Macaca fascicularis: one gene and its partner. The protein of the gene in region 1 interacts with the protein of each later gene in a pairwise test. Links are inferred from orthologs where the notes say so. Each region holds a gene or a part of one and is shown in the gene's direction. Other genes may lie near its edges. The genes, in order: DMPK and HSPB2.

Region 1 (9,867 bases):
ATTCAGCATCGGCCGCTTCGCCACGCTCACATTGCAGGAGCGGCGGGACCGGGGGGCCGAGAAGGAGCACAAGCGCTACCACAGCCTGGGCAACATCAGCCGGGGTGGCAGCGGTGGCGGCGGCAGTGGGGAGAAGCCCAGCGGCCCTATTCCCCGCAGCCGCCTGGACCCCGCCAAGGTGCTGGGCACCGCACTGTGCCCACGCATCCATGAGGTGCCCCTGCTGGAGCCCCTCGTGTGCAAGAAGATCGCGCAGGAGCGGCTCACAGTCCTCCTGTTTCTGGAGGACTGCATCATCACTGCCTGCCAGGAGGGCCTCATCTGCACCTGGGCCCGGCCGGGCAAGGCGGTGAGTGGCTCCATGCCAGCCTGCCGGGGACCTGGCAGGACCCTTGGTGGGAAGAAGCAGTCATTGGCAGAGAGAGGGCTTTGTTGCTGTCACAGCCTCTGGCTTCGTGGGGTGAGGGGAAGCCATGGAAATCTTAGTGTCTCAGAACAAGACCTCTCAGATTCCCAGGTGGCAGGCAGCAGAGAGAGGGGTGGGTGTGAGAGCCAGCTGGGAGACGGGGCGTCCAAGGCTGGCCGTCTGAAGGGCAGCAGATGGGCCCCGCATGGCCAAGTCTTGCTGCCTGTCACTCGAACCAAAATCTATTTCTATTGAACATCTGTTTTTTAAATGGTGAAACTTTTTTGAGTACTTCAGGCCAAAACTCTAGGGGCGAGCTCAAGCCTGTGGGCATGGCTGCCAGGCTGGTTCTGGACTCAGGATCTGAGCCTCCTGCTGAAGGCACAGTCTGGGAATCCCAGGCCTGGGTTCCAGTCCCATTCCCTGTGTGATCCCGGACAAGTCACTGCTCTCTCTAACCTCCAACTTATCACCTAAGTCTTAGAGCCTGTAGAATGGGCAGAGGGGGGATGCGTTTGCCTCCTGGGTGGGCTATGGTGTTGGAAAGGTCACAGTAGGCAAAAGCAGGCCTGGCATCTTGTCAGTCCGGAGCTTGTCTTGGGTGTCTCCGCTCCTTAGGGCTTGGACTCAGCTGCCCAGGGTCCTGGAGGCTGTGGCTTGGTTCCTCAGATCCTCGGTTTTGGTATTGTAGAGTCCTGAGTCCCTAGAACTTGAGAGTACAGTCTGAGTGCCTCAGAGGCAAGAGTGGTGGGATTTGGGGAGTCTGGTTGAGTCCTAAAAGAGACCCCTCTGTCTCCCTAGTTCACAGACGAGGAGACCGAGGCCCAGACAGGGGAAGGAAGTTGGCCCAGGTCACCCAGCAAGTCAGTGGTAGAGGTAGGACTGTCCCTGAGTTCTTTCCCCAGCACCTCAGGGTCCCTCCCAAGTTAGAAGGGAGCCCCAGTTTCCCCCTCCCCTCACACCCCTACCCTTACCCCATCATCTCACTCAGGATCTGCCGAGGACTTTGATTATTGAGTGAAAGTGCCGACTGCCAGGACAGGAAGCTAGCTAAGATGCAAATTCCCAACCTAGAGCAGCGGCCTCTGGGGGCTCTGGGGTGGACCCAAGGGCAAGGCCAGGGTGGCAGCAGCTTTGGGGACTCTGGGCTGGCTCCCTCCCCTTGACACTGGCTGAAGTCCAGGTGGTCTCTAACCCCTCCCATTTCTCCCTCTCATCTTCCCCAGGGCATCTCCTCCCAACCAGGCAACTCCCCGAGCGGCACAGTGGTGTGAAGCCATGGATATCGGGGCCCCTACCCCATGCCCCCAGCCTCCTAGCCATAACCCTCCCTGCTGACCTCATGGATCAACGTATTAACAAGACTAACTATGACAGATGGACTGCGCCGGTCCCCCAACCTGCACAAAATTTGGGGGCCCCCCCAGACTGGCCCAGACACTGGGGGAATGTAATGGCCCTTGTGGCCTCAGCCTTGTCCCCCACCCACTGCCAAGTACAATGACCTCTTCCTCTGAAACATCAGTGTTACCCTCATCCCTGTCCCCAGCATGTGACTGGTCACTCCTGGGGAGAGACTCCCCGCCCCCACCACAAGAGCCCCAGGTCTGCAGTGTGCCCCTTAGTTGAGTGGGCAGGGCTGGGGGTGGTCCAGCCCTCACCTGGCCCCCACCCCAGCTGCCCTTGCTATTGTCTGTGCTTTTGAAGAGTGTTAAATTATGGAAGCCCCTCAGGTTCCTCCCTGTCCCCCAGGACCTCTTATTTATACTAAAGTTCCCTGTTTTCTCAGCGGCTCTGTCCCCTTCGGAGGAGGTGGTGTAGAGGACCTGTGTGTGTGCTCTGCGGTTCCAGGCAGTCCGCTTTCCCCAGAGGAGGAGTGCAGGCCTGCTCCTGGCCCAGCGCCTCCCACCCCTTTTCATAGCAGGAAAAGCCGGAGCCCAGGGAGGGAACGGATCTGCGAGTCACACGGCTGGTGACCCACACCAGTGACTGGAGCAGGGCCCTCTCGGGGAGAAGAGCATCCTGCCCGCTGCCAGGGCCCCTCATCAAAGTCCTCATTGGGTGTTTTTAAAATTCTCAAAACTGCCCAGAACCTCATTTCCCAAGCCCTGCCCAGCTGGGACTCCTTGGTCCTTGCCTCGTTTCTCAGGCCTGGCCCTCTCAAGGCCCAGGCACCCCAGGCCAGCTGGAGGCCCCGACTTCCACTCTGGAGAACGGTCCATACTGGAAAGAAGAGCTCAGATCCCTCCTGGCTCTCGGAGCCGCAGGGAGTGTCTTCCCGCGCCACCCTCCACCCCCCGAAATGTTTCTGTTTCTAATCCCAGCCTGGGCAGGAATGTGGCTTCCCGGCCAGGGGCCAAGGAGCTATTTTGGGGTCTCCTTTGCCTGGGGAGGGCTTGGCTCCACCACTTGCCTCCCCCAGGCTTTGGGCAGCAGGTCACCCCTGTTCAGGCTCTGAGGGTGCCCCCTCCTGGTCCTCTCCTCACCACCCCTTCCCCACCTCCTGGAAAAAAAAAAAGTGTAAAGCAGAGAGCCTGAGGGCTAAATTTAACTGTCCGAGTCGGAATCCATCTCTGAGTCACCCAAGAAGCTGCCCTGGCCTCCCACCCCTTCCCAGGCCTCAGCCCCTTTCTCCTACCCAGCCCTCAGCCCCCAGCGCCCAGCCCCCAGCGCCCAGCGCCCAGCGCCCAGCGCCCAGCGCCCAGCCCCCAGCCCCCAGCGCCCAGCGCCCAGCGCCCAGCGCCTAGCTCTGGAGCTTGTCAGGAGCAAGGGGGTGGTTGCTACTGGGTCACTCAGCCTCGACTGGCCCCATTTTAGTAATGGGCAGGTTCCTCTTGGAATCCATCACACCTGTGGCTTCCTCTGTGCTCTACCTTTTTATTGGGGTGACAGTGTGAGAGCTGAGATTCTCCATCCATCCCCTCTAGCACTGAAGGGTTCTGAAGGGCCCCGGAAGGAGGGAGCTTGGGGGGTGGCTTGTGAGGGGTTAAGGCTGGGAGGCGGGAGGGGGGCTGGACCAAGGGGTGGGGAGAAGGGGAGGAGGCCTCAGCAGCAGAGAGAAGTGGCCAGAGAGGCCCAGGGGACAGTCAGGGACAGGCAGACATGCAGCCAGGGCTCCAGGGTCTGGACAGGGGCTGCCAGGCCCCGTGACAGGAGGACCCCGAGCCCCCGGCCCGGGGAGGGGCCATGGTGCTGCCTGTCCAACATGTCAGCCGAGGTGCGGCTGAGGCAGCTCCAGCAGCTGGTGTTGGACCCCGGCTTCCTGGGGCTGGAGCCCCTGCTCGACCTTCTCCTGGGCGTCCACCAGGAGCTGGGTGCCTCCGAACTGGCCCAGGACAAGTACGTGGCCGACTTCTTGCAGTGGGGTGAGTGCCTGCCCTCAGGGCTCCTGCAGATGGGGTGGGGGTGGGGCAGGAGACAGGTCTGGGCACAGAGGCCTGGCTGTTGCGGGGGCAGGATGGCAGGATGGGCATGGGAAGATCCTCCCATCCTGGGGCTCAGAGCGTGGACCTGAGTCCTGGGACAACATTTCTCTGTCCTATGCCACCACCCTGGAGGGGCAGAGTAAGGTCAGCAGAGGCCAGGGTGGCTATGACTCAGAGCCATGGCTTAGGAGTCACAGCAGGCTACACTGCCAACAGCCTCCCATGGCCTCTCTGCACCCTGCCTCAGGGACAGGGCCAGTGTCATGCTGGGAGCTCCCTCTCCTAGGATCCTCTCCCCACAAGTGGGCTCTATGGCCCACTCCCTTGGTTTTCTGCAGCCCAGGGCAAGCCAGGAGGGCCAGCATGGGGCAGCTGCCAGGGGCGCAGCCGACAGGCAGGTGTTCGGCGCCAGCCTCTCCAGCTGCCCCAACAGGTGCCCAGGCACTGGGAGGGCGGTGACTCACGCGGGCCCTGGGGGAGAACCAGCTTTGCAGACAGGCGCCACCAGCGCCCCCTCCTCTGTGATCCAGGAGGGACAACTTTGGGTTCTTCTGGGTGTGCCTCCTTTTGTAGGTTCTGCACCCACCCCCACCCCCAGCCCCAAAGTCTCGGTCCCTATGAGCCGTGTGGGTCAGCCACCATTCTCGCCACCCCAGCTCCCTGCGTCCTTTAGTTCTCCTGGCCCACGGCCTCCAACCTTCCAGCTGCCCCACAAAGCCCCTTCTTGCAAGGACTTTCCAGGGCCTGGGGCCAGGGCTGGAAGGAGGATGCTTCCACTTCTGCCAGCTGCCTTGTCCGCCCATCTCCTCCCCAAGCCCAGGACTCAGGCTCACTGGTCACTGGTTTCTTTCACTCCCAGCACCCTGCCCCTCTGGCCCTCACGTGCCTGGCCCTCAGCGACTGGCACTTGGTCTTTGGTCTGTGTGTGACAAACTGTGTGACACTTGTTTCCTGTTTCTCCACCTTCCCCTGCTTCCTCTTGTGTCCATCTCTTTGTGACCCAGGTCTGGTTCCTCTCCCTCCTCCTCCCATTTCACAGATGGGAAGGCGGAGGCCAAGAAGGGCCAGGCCACTCAGCCTCTGGAAAAACCTTCTCCCAACCTCCCGCAGCCCCTAATGACTCTCCTGGCCCCCCTTTAACAGAGGATGAAGTTGGGCTGGCAGGGTAAACTGAGACCGGGCGGGGTAGGGGTCTGGCGCTCCAGGGAGGAGCACTCCTTTTGTGGCCCGAGCTGCATCTTGCGGCCCCTCCCCTGCCAGGCCTGGGGCGGGGGAGGGGGCCTGGGTTCCTGCTGCCTTAAAAGGGCTCAATGTCTTGGCTCTCTCCTCCCTCCCCCGTCCTCAGCCCTGGCTGGTTCGTCCCTGCTGGCCCACTCTCCCGGAACCCCCCGAAACCCCTCTCTCCTCTAGAACCCACTGTCTCTTCTCCTTCCCTCCCCTCCCATACCCATCCCTCTCTCCATCCTGCCTCCACTTCTTCCACCCCTGGGAGTCCAGGCCTCCCTGTCCCCATGGTCCCTGAGCCCCAAGCCTCCACCCCAGCCGGTCCCCCACCCAAGCTGCCCTGTTTAACATTCCTAGTCATAGGACCTTGACTTCTGAGAGCCCTGATTGTCATCTGTAAATAAGGGGTAGGACTAAAGCCCTCCTCCTGGAGGACTGAGAGATGGGCTGGACCAGAGCACTTGAGTCTAGGATGTGTGACCATGCCGGCTTTGTCTCCCTGTCCTGTTCCTTCCCCCAGCCCCAGATCCAGGGTTTCCCAAAGTGTGGTTCAAGAACCACCTGTATCTGAATCTAGAGGTACTGGATACAACCCCACGTCTGGGCCATTACCCAGGACATTCTACATGAGAACGAGGGGGTGGGGTCCTGGCTGCGCCTGAACTGTCACCTGGAGTCGGGGTGGAGGACTGGAAGCCCAGGAAGGTGGAAGAACTGGGTCTTATTTCCTTCTCCCCTTGTTCTTTAGGGTCTGCCCTTCTGCAGACTTTGTTACCCCACCCTCACCGTCCTGCACACCCTTGGAGCCCTCTGGTCCAATGCCCTGTCCCGCAAAGGGCTTCCCAGGCATCTCGCCTCTATGGGAGGGCAGTTTTGGGTCCCCTGAACCTTACACAGTGTTTATGTGGGGAAGCTCTTGGGAAGCAGACAGTCCTAGGGTGAAGCTGAGAGGCAGAGAGAAGGGGAGACAGAAGGTGGGGTTTTTCCCCTTGTCTCCAGTGCCTTTTCTGGTGACCCTCGGTTCTTTTCCCCCACCACGCCCCCAGCGGAGCCCATCGTGGTGAGGCTTAAGGAGGTCCGACTGCACAGGGACGACTTCGAGATTCTGAAGGTGATCGGACGCGGGGCGTTCAGTGAGGTAAGCTCAACTGGTCGGCAGCCCGACTTGACTTGTGGTGGGTGGGGCATAAGGGTTGGGGTGGGGCCTTAGAAATTGATGAATGACCAAGCCTTAGAACCTAGGGCTGGGCTGGAGGCGGGGCTTGGGACCAATGGGCGTGGTGCGGCAGGTGGGGCGGGGCCACGACTGAGTGCAGAAGCGGGTGGAGTTGGGTCTCGGGGAGCCCTTCTGTTTTCCCGGCGTCTCCACCTTGTCTGCCTCTCTTGGCCTCAGGTAGCGGTGGTGAAGATGAAGCAGACGGGCCAGGTGTACGCCATGAAGATCATGAACAAGTGGGACATGCTGAAGAGGGGCGAGGTGAGGGGCTCGGCGGGCGTGGGGGGCTTTGAGGATCCGCGCCCTCTCTCCGGCTGCAGCTCCTCCGGGTGCCCTGCAGGTGTCGTGCTTCCGTGAGGAGAGGGACGTGTTGGTGAATGGGGACCGGCGGTGGATCACGCAGCTGCATTTCGCCTTCCAGGATGAGAACTACCTGGTGAGCTCCGGGCTGGGGTGACTGGGAAGAGGTACAGAGCCCATGCTGTCACTGGATGAGGAGGTGGGGAGAGGAAGCTCTAGGATTGGGGGTGCTGCCCACCACAAGTCCCCCACGCCTGTGGGAGAGTCTGTGTGCAGTAAGAGGGTGTGTCAGGTGGATGAGGGGCCTTCCTTATCTTGGACGGGGATGGGGTCCCTCACTGCCCCTTTCTGGGGTGTTTTGGGGGACTCCTATAAAGAAGTCTCTGTTGGGGGGGTCTCTTACCTGGAATGGGATAGGTCTTCAGAAATTCTAACGGGGCCACTGCCTAGGGAGGGAGTGTCTGGGACCTATTCTCTGGGTGTTCAGTGGTCTATGAGTTCTCTTTCCCAGAACATCTCAGGGGGAGTGAATCTGCCCAGTGACATTCCAGGAAAGGTTTTTTGTTTGTGTTTTTTTTCGAGGGGCGGGGGGCGGGGGCCGCAGGTGTCTCTGATTTGGCCCGGCAGATCTCTGTGGTTATCTCTGGGCTGGGGCTGCAGGTCTCTGCCCAGGGATGGGGTGTCTCTGGCAGTGGTTGTCCCGGCCATCCGTGATGGATCAGGGCCTCGGGACTACCAGCCACCCATGACGAACCCCTTCTCAGTACCTGGTCATGGAGTATTACGTGGGTGGGGACCTGCTGACACTGCTGAGCAAGTTTGGGGAGCGGATTCCGGCCGAGATGGCGCGCTTCTACCTGGCGGAGATTGTCATGGCCATAGATTCGGTGCACCGGCTCGGCTACGTGCACAGGTGTGTGTGGCATGGCTGAGGGCTAGGGCGAGGGGATAGCAAGCTTGTTCCCTGGCAGGGTTCTTGGAAGGTCAGAGCCCAGAGAGGCCAGGGCCTAGAGAGGGACCTCCTTGGTTGGGGCCCACTGGGGCGTGCCTGGGAGTAGGGTCCAGAACTGTAGAATCCCTACAGGGGCAGAACCCAAGGAAGTGGGGCCCGAGGTGGCACTGCCCAAAGGGGCAGAGCTTGGTGGGACCACAGAAGGGAGGTTCACTTATCCCACCCTTCTCCTTTCCTCGGTGCAGGGACATCAAACCCGACAACATCCTGCTGGACCGCTGTGGCCACATCCGCCTGGCCGACTTCGGCTCCTGTCTCAAGCTGCAGGCAGATGGAACGGTGAGCCAGTGCCCTGGCCACAGAGCAACTCGGGCTGCTAATGAGGGATGGGAGGTGCAGAGTGTGGGGGCAGGACTGGATTTGGAGGGGGCAGGAGGAGGTGACCCAGGCCTAAGTGTGCATCTGTGTGGCAGAGCATTAGACCAGGCAGAGGGAGAGGCTAAGCATTTGGGGAGTGGTTGGAAGGAGGGCCCAGAGCTGGTGGGCCCAGAGGGGTGGGCCCAAGCCTCGCTCTGCTCCTTTTGGTCCAGGTGCGGTCACTGGTGGCTGTGGGCACCCCAGACTACCTGTCCCCCGAGATCCTGCAGGCTGTGGGCGGTGGGCCTGGGACAGGCAGCTACGGGCCAGAGTGTGACTGGTGGGCGCTGGGTGTGTTCGCCTATGAAATGTTCTACGGGCAGACGCCCTTCTACGCGGATTCCACGGCGGAGACCTACGGCAAGATCGTCCACTACAAGGTGAGCATGGCCCCAGGGAGCCCTGGCCTCTCCAGGTAGGCGCTCCCCAACTATCGCCTCCTCTCCCTCTCCCTCTGAGCAGGAGCACCTCTCTCTGCCGCTGGCAGATGAAGGGGTCCCTGAGGAGGCTCAAGACCTCATCCAGCGTCTGCTGTGTCCCCCGGAGACACGGCTGGGCCGGGGTGGAGCAGGTGACTTCCGGACACATCCCTTCTTCTTTGGCCTCGACTGGGATGGTCTCCGAGACAGCATGCCCCCCTTTACACCGGATTTCGAAGGTGCCACCGACACATGCAACTTCGACTTGGTGGAGGACGGGCTCACTGCCATGGTGAGCGGGGGCGGGGTAGGTACCTGCGGCCCCTGCTCAGCTGCGGGAACCTCCTCATGCTCCCTCCAGAAAGTTGGAGTAAGGACAGTGCCTACCTCCTGGGGTCCTGAACCACTCATTCCCCAGAGCACCTGCTGTGAGCCCATCTAGTGCTGAGGACCCAGCAGTGACCTAGACTTATAGTCCAGTGGGGAAACACAGACCAGTCTTCAGACAGTGAAGCCCCAGAATGATCAGGGCTGAGACAATGGAGTGCAGGGGGTGGGGGGCTCCTGACTCAGCAAGGAAGGTCCTGGAGGGCTTCCTGGAGTGGGGAGCTATCTGAGCTGAGACTTCGAGAGATGAGAAGCAGGAGAGGACTCCTCCTCCCTCAGGCTGGCTCTCTTCACCGTGTAACGAGCTGTCGTGGAATGCTTGCTTGGCTCTGGGTGCCCTTTTGCTGGACAATACTGGGGATCCAGCACTGACCAGATCATCTCTGGTCCCTGCCCTCATCCACTTGCAGTCTAGAGAATTAGAGAATTATGGAGAGTGTGGCAGGTGCCCTTGAAGGGAAGCAACAGGATACAAGAAAAAATAGTGGGGCCAGGCGCCGTGGCTCACGCCTGTAACCCCAGTACTTTGGGAGGCCGAAGCGAGTGGATTGTTTGAGCCCAGGAGTTCAAGACCAGCCTGGGCAATGTGGTGAGACCCTATCTCTACAAAAATGTTTAAAAAATTGGCTGGGTGTGGTGGCGCATGCCTGTATACTCAGCTCCTAGGGAGGCCGACCTGGGAGGCTCGCTTGAGCCCAGGAGGTCAAGGCTGCAGTGAGCTGTGATTGTGCCACTGTATTCCCGCCTGAGCAACAGAGGAGAGACTCTGTCTCAAAAATAAGATAAAATTAAATTGAAATTTAAAAATAGGCTGGGCTGCGGCCGGGCGCTGTGGCACATGCCTGTAATTCCAGCACTTTGGGAGTCCGAGGTGGGCGGATCACGAGATCAAGAGTTTGAGGCCAGCCTGGCCAACATGGTGAAACCCCATCTCTACTAAAAATACAAGAAAAGTCGCTGGGCGTGGTTGTGGTTGCCTGTAATCCCAGCTACTGGGGAAGTTGAGGCAGGAGAATTGCTTGAACCCGGGAGGCAGAGTTTGCTGTGAGCCAAGATCATGCCACTGCACTGCAGTCTGAGTGACAGAGTGAGACTCTGTCTCAAAAAAAAGAGAAAAAAAA
Region 2 (8,643 bases), on another chromosome or scaffold:
TGGCCTGTGGCCTATTAGGAAATAGGCTGCACAGTAGGAGGTGAGTGAAGCTGAGCTCCTCCTCCTGTCAGATCAGTGGTGGCATTACATTCTCATATAAGCATGAATCCTATTGTGAACTGCACACGTGAGAGATCTAGCTTGTGTACTCCTTATGAGAATCTAATGCTTGAATCATCCCGAAACCATCCCCTGCTCCCCCGGGGCCACGGGAAAAATTGTCTTCCACAAAACCAGTCCCTGCTGCCAAAAAGGTTGGGGGCCACTGATTTAGCCTATACCTCAGAGCTTGTTAGGTGATAATCAGCCAAGTCCTGCTTATTGCCCTTGTAAATCAGCTTAAGGCAATACTTATCAATAGGAAAACGTCAAACAATATTAGGGTCACCATGTCTTCCCTGATGATGTAATTAATTTTAGAGATGTAGTAAGGCCTTTTATGTAGCATTATCCAGAGTTCATTCAGATGTGTTCCAGTCCTTTAAACTGAGGGCTAAAATCAAAGAGGGCAGAGACAGAGTAACTAATATTCCTTGAACTCTGCCAGGGGCTTTTCCTGCTTCTTCTCCTTAATTTACTTCCTATAATAGCTCTGTACAACTCAGTAACCCATGTTATAAATGGAAAACCTGAAGACCAGAAAGGTTAAGCAACTTGCCTAAATTTATATCATTAGTAAATGGTGGAGCCAGTCATTCTGACTCTAAAATCCTTGGAGCCCTCTAAATCATAATGCAATCATAAATAGATCTGTGGTATCCGTACATTTATTTAAAAGTGTGTGGAATATTCAAACACAAGACAGTTATCTGTTGCTGAATGATATTTTATTAGCTTGATAATTTGGGCCTGCCCTTAGCATTAATAAGCTTCAGCACTAGTCACAAGACTTTCATTCACTGGCGGGGAAACTTTCTTGTTTTAAAAAATGCAATTCAAGAAAGGGCATCTATTTCTTGGGGGCTGCGGTGACAGCAGGCTTCTCTTCACGGGTGATGGGAATGGTGCGCTCAGGGCCAGAGACCTGTTTCCTTGGTCCATTCACAGTGAGGACCCCATCAGATGACAGGGATGAAGTAATGGTGAGAGGGTCCACATCAGCTGGGACCCGGTATTTCCTGTGGAACTCCCTGGAGATGAAACCATGTTCATCCTAACCCAAAAGAATGAGGAAAGAGGCAGAGAGATAAGAATATGAACTACTATCACCTGCCCAGAACTCAGGCATCCTGATTTCCCCTTAGGTGAGACCAAATGCCATGACAACATAGGAAAAATAAACAGTGCTTTGTTTCAGGGTTGTGGCTAAGATGAAGTTACCTAGGTAGTCACTCCTACCAGTGAGAATCTGAGAAGTCTGAAACAGTACAACACTTCATTGTTTTTCAAACCCTGAGGCATAGATATGTTTAGGAGTATTTCCCAAAGGTTTAGATAATGTTGACTGGGCCTACAGAATTTGGAATCTCATTTAGAATCTGAGTCCCTGAGGAAGCCCTGAAATTGTCCTGACTCTTCAGGAATGTCCCAGAAGGTTCCAGAACAATAGGACTGCTGCTGGGGGAAAAAAAAAAAAAAGACTCCATCCAAGGAGACTATGACCCAAACCTAAATCATATGAGCAAAATTGAAACAGCCTGAGGACATTACTAAGGACAAACTGTACTGGTTGACGCACAGGTTCTGAGCTATCGCTGAGCTATCGTTAATTGGTGAGAAGGAATTTTAAAGCCCTCTTACAAAGTCATGAAAAGCTGTTCCATTCGTCAGAATTCCCCCAAAGAGTAGATGACCTTAACCCGTATGCCTGCTGACTCTCAAGCATGTAGCCAAACAGGCTCTCATTAACTGATTTCCGCATGGGCTATAGGGGATTAAAGACTGAGCACAGCTCTGAAATTTAGACAAACCAAGTAGTTCAGCATTAAGATGGGCTAAAGAAGAGACATGGATTCTTGCACAGCTAACAGAGAATTCACAACTCAAGTGCCTTTAGGGTACCTGTAGTTAATGTAATTATGCAAAGCAACTAGGTGTCTGACAGCCCTATACCTAAATCAGTGGTCCTCAACCTTGACTGTAGATTAGAATTACCTTAAAAAATGTTGATGCCCTGGGTCCCACCCCTAAAAATTCTGATTTAATTGGTCTGGAGTATGCCTGAGCATTAGGTTTTTTGAAAGTTCCCCTGGTGATTCTAATGTGGCCAAGATTCAGAACCTCTGGCTAAGATGGGGCATCAACATCCCATCATCCCATCTAAGGCGATCAAATCAAACAAAGACCACATCTCTGGCCATAACAACAGTAACAACAGCAATAGGTCTATCCCTAACTTAGTCTTCTAGACATTGATTTGTAACCCCTGATCTAGACTATTATAGCTTGGGACTGGAATGTAGCCAGCCTCCAAAGCTGATAGCACTACCTGGACTATTACAGTATACACTGAATGAATGAGCAGAAAACAAAAACCAAGCTACATACCTGGCGCTCTTCATGTTTGCCATGCACCTCAATCACATCTCCCAACACCTTAACTTTGAGTTCCTCTGGGGAGAAGTGCTTCACATCCAGGTTGACAGAGAACCTGTCCTTCTCCAGGCGCATCTAGAAATAGCAAGGTAAGGGAATGGGACGGGAGAAAGATGGCGAAAGTACTCATTATACTGGTGTTGTCTTATTCTGCAGAGTTGCTTTCTGTCCAGGTAATTCATCCTTCTCTTTTCTGCTTTAAAATATCCCCTTTTTAAATAAACATGGCTCTCTGCTTCAGGGAGCCACCACAGTGATACCTAAGGCTCATGGTGATCCGACCCAAACTTTATTTACAGGGACAGAGAAGAAGACAGATCACCCAGGGGACCAGTCGCAAGGATGGGTGCAGGCCTGGCATCTGCTGCCTCTCTGGCTCCGATGCCTGGCTTTGTGGTTTGTCTGTGAGACAAAGGCCTCTTCTTCTGGCTCAGGTCTCTTTGCCAGTTTTCCACCCACCCAATCTGGAATGTTCTGCTGGTCCTGCTTGTCCTTCCAAAGCCCTTGCCCACTCATCTCCTGTTTACTCACACTCGAATATTTTTAAACCAGAGCGTTATCTGTGACAGCTTCTGTCAACCTTATATGTTCACCCTGTTCTCTCACCCTCTTAGGACGAGTGGGGGTCCCTATATTGTTTCCTCATAAGGCTTGGTTGGACCCAGGCCAATGCCCTGTCACAGCCCTGAGAAACCCAGAAAATCACAGAAGAGGGAATAAAAAGGCAGAAAATGCCCATGAGGGTGAACAGCTCAGGCAGGGTGAGGCAGGGCTCTCTCCTGGCTCTGACACCTGAGATGGTAAAATTGGTCAAGAGTCCATGGTGTTAGAAGAGATGAGCAAAGGAGTTTGAAGGCAGCTCTTTCCCTGCAGATTGTTATGAACCAAACCAGAAAGGGGTACCCTGCAGAGAAGTTAGGGGATGGAGGATGAACTTGACAGTGCATGAAAAAAATGTAATAAATGGGATACAGAGGACCATCAAGTAGAAACAGGTGACGGGGGAGGGAGGAACTAGCAACCTCCTCATTTTTCTTCACATTTGGATACACATGTGCCTAAAATGGTTTAGGCAGGAAAGGAGAGGAAAATGGATGGAGAAGTTTACAGGAGGTTCCAGTAAGGACTCTCCCATTCTAGCAGTGGGGAGACTCACCTCTGAGAGTCCAGTGTCAAACCAGCTGGGTGCCCGCAGGAAGGAGGGTGGCCGAAGGTAGAAGGGGCTCAGGGAAGTAGACGTCGGGAAAAGATCAGACTCCAACAGGTGCTCTCCAAAGAACTGGTCAAAGAGGCGGCTGGGGGAGTGGAAAGGAAAGAAGGGGCGGCGGATCCAGGGGTGGTGGATGGCGATGTCCATGGTGGCTAGGTGAGTGTGGGGGGTCAGCTGGCTGGTCAGCTCCTTCAGCTGCAGCTACAGCCAGCCCCTTATATATGCAGTCTTGTGAAGCTTCTGGAATGGTGATGTCAGGGGTTTTATTATCCTAGCTCACCGCCGGTTCATGGAGACTTGTGATCGGGGATTTGGCAGTGTGACACATACCCAGTACTCACTGAGCTAAGAAAAGAGAAACACAAACACGTCTGAGCCGGCCAGTGACTTGTCATGGTCTTGTTTCACTAGCTTTCTGTACACACCCAGTGGCACCCACCCCCACCCCAGTTCTCTGAAGCTGGTACAGAGTCAGGAATCCCAAGCAGGCACGCGGGTGGGTGGAGGGGCAGGCGGTGGAGTGTGCCCCTCCTCCTCCTCCTCTTCAGTCCTGAATGCCAGGGGAATCAGGCCAGCAACTATCTTGGGCCTGGGCAGGGACTGGAATCTTCCTAGGCTGGGCCCCAGGGACATTAACTCTTTGTGAGTCCTTGGAAGAGAGCAGTGATGGTCAACATGCGGGTACCAGCCATCTGCCTCCTGCCCTGGGTTGACCTGGGTTTAGGAGAGGACTCCGACATCTGGGCAGAAAGACCCCACTCCCTGAAAAAAAGAGCAGAAAGATTTCTTGCATCTTTCATCCTATGTGGCTCTCAGAACATTAAATCCAGGAGTGCTTTAGGAATTGGGTGCACAGTGCCGGCCTCCAAGGAGGAGAAAATGAGGTGTGGAAACGTGCAAACCGTTTGTGAGGGTTTCAGCGAGGCCTCTTCATGCCCCAGGCACCACCAGCTCCCCCTTCTCAGCTCGTTCCTAACCAGGACCCTCAGCTGTCCTCTCAGGCCCCCTGCGACAGCTGAAGAGTGTGCGGGGGAGGGGACTAGGGGTCCAGGCGGCGCTGGTCACACCCTCGTTGCTCTCACTCAGGGCCCCCACTCCCCGCCCCTCCCCCCCAGAGGCTCGGCACTATTTTGGGTGGTGTCGACCCCGCCCCCACCTCCTATCGAGCCCTGGCTCTCCGGGCAGCTGGAGGGGTCGCGCTGCGCCTGTTGGGGCTGCACCTCGGACCAGGGCTCCCGCTGCATCTGCAGCCATGTCGGGCCGCTCAGTGCCACATGCCCACCCAGCCACCGCTGAGTACGAATTTGCCAACCCGAGCCGCCTGGGTGAGCAGCGCTTCGGAGAAGGTATGGCACAGATGCCACCCCCTTGCCTCCCACCCCCACCCCCTGAAATTCTGGGCTGACCTCCCAACGTTACTGGCCTCCACCCCACTCTGGGCTTAACTGATCTCCTGGGACCAGCCACCCCCCACCCCAGACTCCCTCTCATCCCCTCCAAGCAGAGCTCTTTCCCATTCCTGCTGACCTCAAGACACACTTGGTGCTTGCAGTGCTGCTACCTGCCCTTTGCCCGCCTGGGTGTGCCTCCTTGTCCCCCTTCTATCAACCAGGCCATTTGGTGCCTCCTCCTCCCCCTGCTTCTCCTCCTCCTCCTCCCTTTCCTTTCCGTTCTCTTTCCCCTCTTCCCAGCTGCCTTCTCCTCCTAGCTACTGTGTGGCCTCCTTCCCGTTCCCCACTCCTCCTGACTCCCCTCTTGCTCTTCCCAATCCCTCCTCTCCAGATTTCCCATTTCGCCCCTGTGCCAGCCTCATCCTCCCTCATCCTGCCTCTTGCGTTCTCTCTGCCCCTTAGGCCTCCTTCCAGAAGAGATCCTGACCCCCACACTCTACCATGGCTACTATGTCCGGCCTCGGGCCGCCCCAGCTGGGGAGGGCAGCAGGGCAGGGGCCTCCGAGCTTAGGCTCAGTGAGGGCAAGTTCCAGGCATTTCTGGATGTGAGCCACTTTACCCCAGACGAGGTGACTGTGAGGACTGTGGATAACCTGCTGGAGGTGTCTGCCCGGCACCCCCAGCGCCTGGACCGCCACGGCTTCGTGTCCCGAGAGTTCTGCCGCACCTATGTCCTGCCTGCTGATGTCGACCCCTGGCGGGTCCGAGCTGCTCTCTCCCATGATGGCATCTTAAACCTGGAAGCGCCTCGGGGTGGCCGACATTTGGACACAGAGGTCAATGAGGTCTACATCTCCCTGCTCCCTGCGCCTCCTGATCCAGAGGAAGAGGAGGAGGCAGCCATAGTTGAGCCCTGATTGCCACAGACCCAGCACCCAGCAAATCCCTCTCTACCTCCCATGGTGATATGGGCAGCTGCCCACCACTCCAGAGGTAGCAGCGTCCTTGGGGGAAAGGAAAGGTGCATGGTCTACAATGTATGGTTTGGTCCCATGGGACGTGTCATAGCCTTGGTTTAGTTTTGGGTGGAGCCGAATAAACCCAAATCTCAGGGCCTTGTTTGTGCTGCTCCCTATTCTGTGGCCGGCAAGCTGGGATGGGGAGGGAGGGAGGCGGTCACAGCCAGCTAGACAAAAAGTTCCTCAGTTTGATGTGCCTAACGTCATAGGACCCTGAGCTCGCACTTGGATACTGAGATCACACCCGGAAGCTGATGCTGGCTCCAGATCAAATTCCTAGCCGTGATTTTCTCACAGTGCAACAAAAGAGAGAGTGATCCTGGGAGAGAAAAGGGATATGCCATCCAAACAGCCCAGAGGGCACTGTCTGAGCTGGTGATTAGAGACACAAAAACAAGGGTCTCCAGACTGTCTGGCCCGTTTTGGGTAGGGGCTGGGAAAATGGTTTTTGGCTGATGAGAGTTGCCTAAAGCCCTGGAGTAAATACTTTGTTTTCATGTACTAAGGTCTGTCCACTGAAATGGTCACTGATTTTGAGAGCCCGAGTATGCATACACAGGGGCACAGACACAAAGCCTCTCCAATGATCATGGAACCCCATTACCTTCCCGTCCTCTGGGGGTATGGTGTATTCAGAAAAGCCTGAGGGTCTGTCCCCTCAGTTATTCTCTGCAATCAAGAGAACATCCAGCTAGGTGATTTGGGGGAGGTGTCCAAAACGACCTTCCTGCCTCCGAATACATATTTTATTAGGCTGTGGTAGATACCTACAATTCTTCCATTAAAGTAGTTGTTTCTTGGCTGGGTGCAGCAGCTCACACCTGTAATCCCAGCACTTTGGGAGGCCGAGGCAGGAGGATCACTTGAGCCCAAGAGTAAGAGACCAGTCTGGGCAACAGAGTGAAACCTTTGTCTTTACAAAAAAATAAAAATTAGCCAGACATGGTGGTGCATGCCTGTAGTCCCAGCTACTTGGGAGGCTAAGGTGGGAGGATGAGCTAGGGAGGTTGAAGCTGCAGTGAGCTGAGATTGCACCACTGCACTCCAGCCTGGGTGACACAGTGAGACCCTGCCTCAAAAAAATTAAATTGAATTAAATTAAGTGGTTATTTCTTAACTTTTGGGAGTTATAGACCCTTCTGAAAATCTGACAAAAGCTATAGCTGCTCTTACCAGAAAAATACATATGCTCCCAAATTTGGCAATACAACTTGAATAGGTTCCCACAACTCTTCAGACCCATTCATACATCCTTCTTAGGGATCTGTGGACCTCCAGGATAACAGAACTCACTTGAGGAATTCAACTTCTGGTTGAAAGATTGCTGTCTATTAAAAATGAAAGCATGCCCCAGAGAAATAACATTTGATATATTTAATTGTTCATTCATTCATTCAATATTTATCAAACCTCATGTAATACACCATGGGGAATATATATTGTAAATATAAAAACTATTAGCTTTTATTGTGAACTTTCCGGAATCTAGTTGAGAAGAAAAATAATAAGAAAAGGATTCCACTTAGACTTCAACCAGAATAACTTCACATTGATATGTTTTGTAACTGAGCTTTATTTAAGGGAAAGGGTTTCTCAGCTATAAAAAATTTGAAAACTTCTGATTTAGTCCAAATCCCCACTCCATTCAAAATTCTTTTAAAGTTATTAATCAACTTATTCTGGGACATTCTGAATGACAGACAACTTAGAACTTCCCACGGTAGCCTGTTCCATGTTCTTTCTTTTCTTTTTTAGATAGGGTCTCATTCTGTTGCTCAGGCTGGAGTGCAGTGGCCATGCCTCACTGCAGCTCACTGCAGCCTCAACCTCCCGTGCTCCTCATGGCTCACTGCAGCCTCAACCTCCCGTGCTCAAGCAATCCTCCTGCCTCAGCCTCCTGAGTAGCTGGGACAACAGGTGTGTGCCACCACGCCTGGCTAATTTTTTACCTTTTCTAGAGACGAGATCTCGCTTTGTTGTCCAGGCTGGTCTTGAACTCCTGGACTCAAGCAGTCCTCTAGCCTTGGCCTGCCACAGTGCTGGGATTACAGGTATGAGCCACTGTACCTGGCCCTCCATTTTCTTTTTGGTCTTAACTGACTTAACCGTTATAAATTCCTTTGATTTTGTTGAATCAAAATCTGCATTTCAGTAACTTCTCTGAAAAACAAATGCAATGGTTTTTTCACTTGAAAATCCTTCCGATATTTAAAGATAACCATCCTGTCTTCCTGAGGCTTCCCTTTCCCAGCTAAACATGCCTAGGTCTTTTTTTTTTCTTTTTTTTTTTGAGGCAAGGTCTCTCTCTGTCACCCAGGCTGTGTGTGCAGTGGTGTCATCTCCCCTCACTGCAACCTCCTCCTCCCTGGCTCAAGCAATCCTCTCACCACAACACCGGGCTAATTTTTTGTATTGTTTTGTAGAGACTGGGTTTCGCCATGTTGCCCAGGCTAGTCTTGAACTTCTGGCCTCAAGCAATCTGCCCACT

The links.
Region 2: the proteins of DMPK (region 1) and HSPB2 interact in a two-hybrid assay, tested with the Homo sapiens proteins (2 studies listed by BioGRID). The link is inferred for Macaca fascicularis from reciprocal best matches to the Homo sapiens genes DMPK and HSPB2.

Annotation. Positions count from the first base shown.
Region 1 is NC_088393.1:53,857,592-53,867,458, reverse strand, and holds the start of DMPK (myotonin-protein kinase), read left to right. Parts: upstream 1-3,473; 5' UTR 3,474-3,592; coding exon of another isoform or gene 3,593-3,611; coding exon 3,612-3,771; intron 3,772-5,575; coding exon of another isoform or gene 5,576-5,634; intron 5,635-6,101; coding exon 6,102-6,193; intron 6,194-6,448; coding exon 6,449-6,532; intron 6,533-6,611; coding exon 6,612-6,707; intron 6,708-7,335; coding exon 7,336-7,484; intron 7,485-7,768; coding exon 7,769-7,862; intron 7,863-8,113; coding exon 8,114-8,320; intron 8,321-8,402; coding exon 8,403-8,666; intron 8,667-9,867. Other genes in the region: DMWD (dystrophia myotonica WD repeat-containing protein), read left to right, coding at 1-349, 1,208-1,282, 1,633-1,680. UniProt on the Homo sapiens protein: Non-receptor serine/threonine protein kinase which is necessary for the maintenance of skeletal muscle structure and function.
Region 2 is NC_088388.1:110,835,427-110,844,069, forward strand, and holds HSPB2 (heat shock protein beta-2), read left to right. Parts: upstream 1-4,933; 5' UTR 4,934-4,997; coding exon 4,998-5,091; intron 5,092-5,598; coding exon 5,599-6,053; 3' UTR 6,054-6,251; downstream 6,252-8,643. Other genes in the region: CRYAB (alpha-crystallin B chain), read right to left, coding at 950-1,153, 2,488-2,610, 3,692-3,892. UniProt on the Homo sapiens protein: May regulate the kinase DMPK.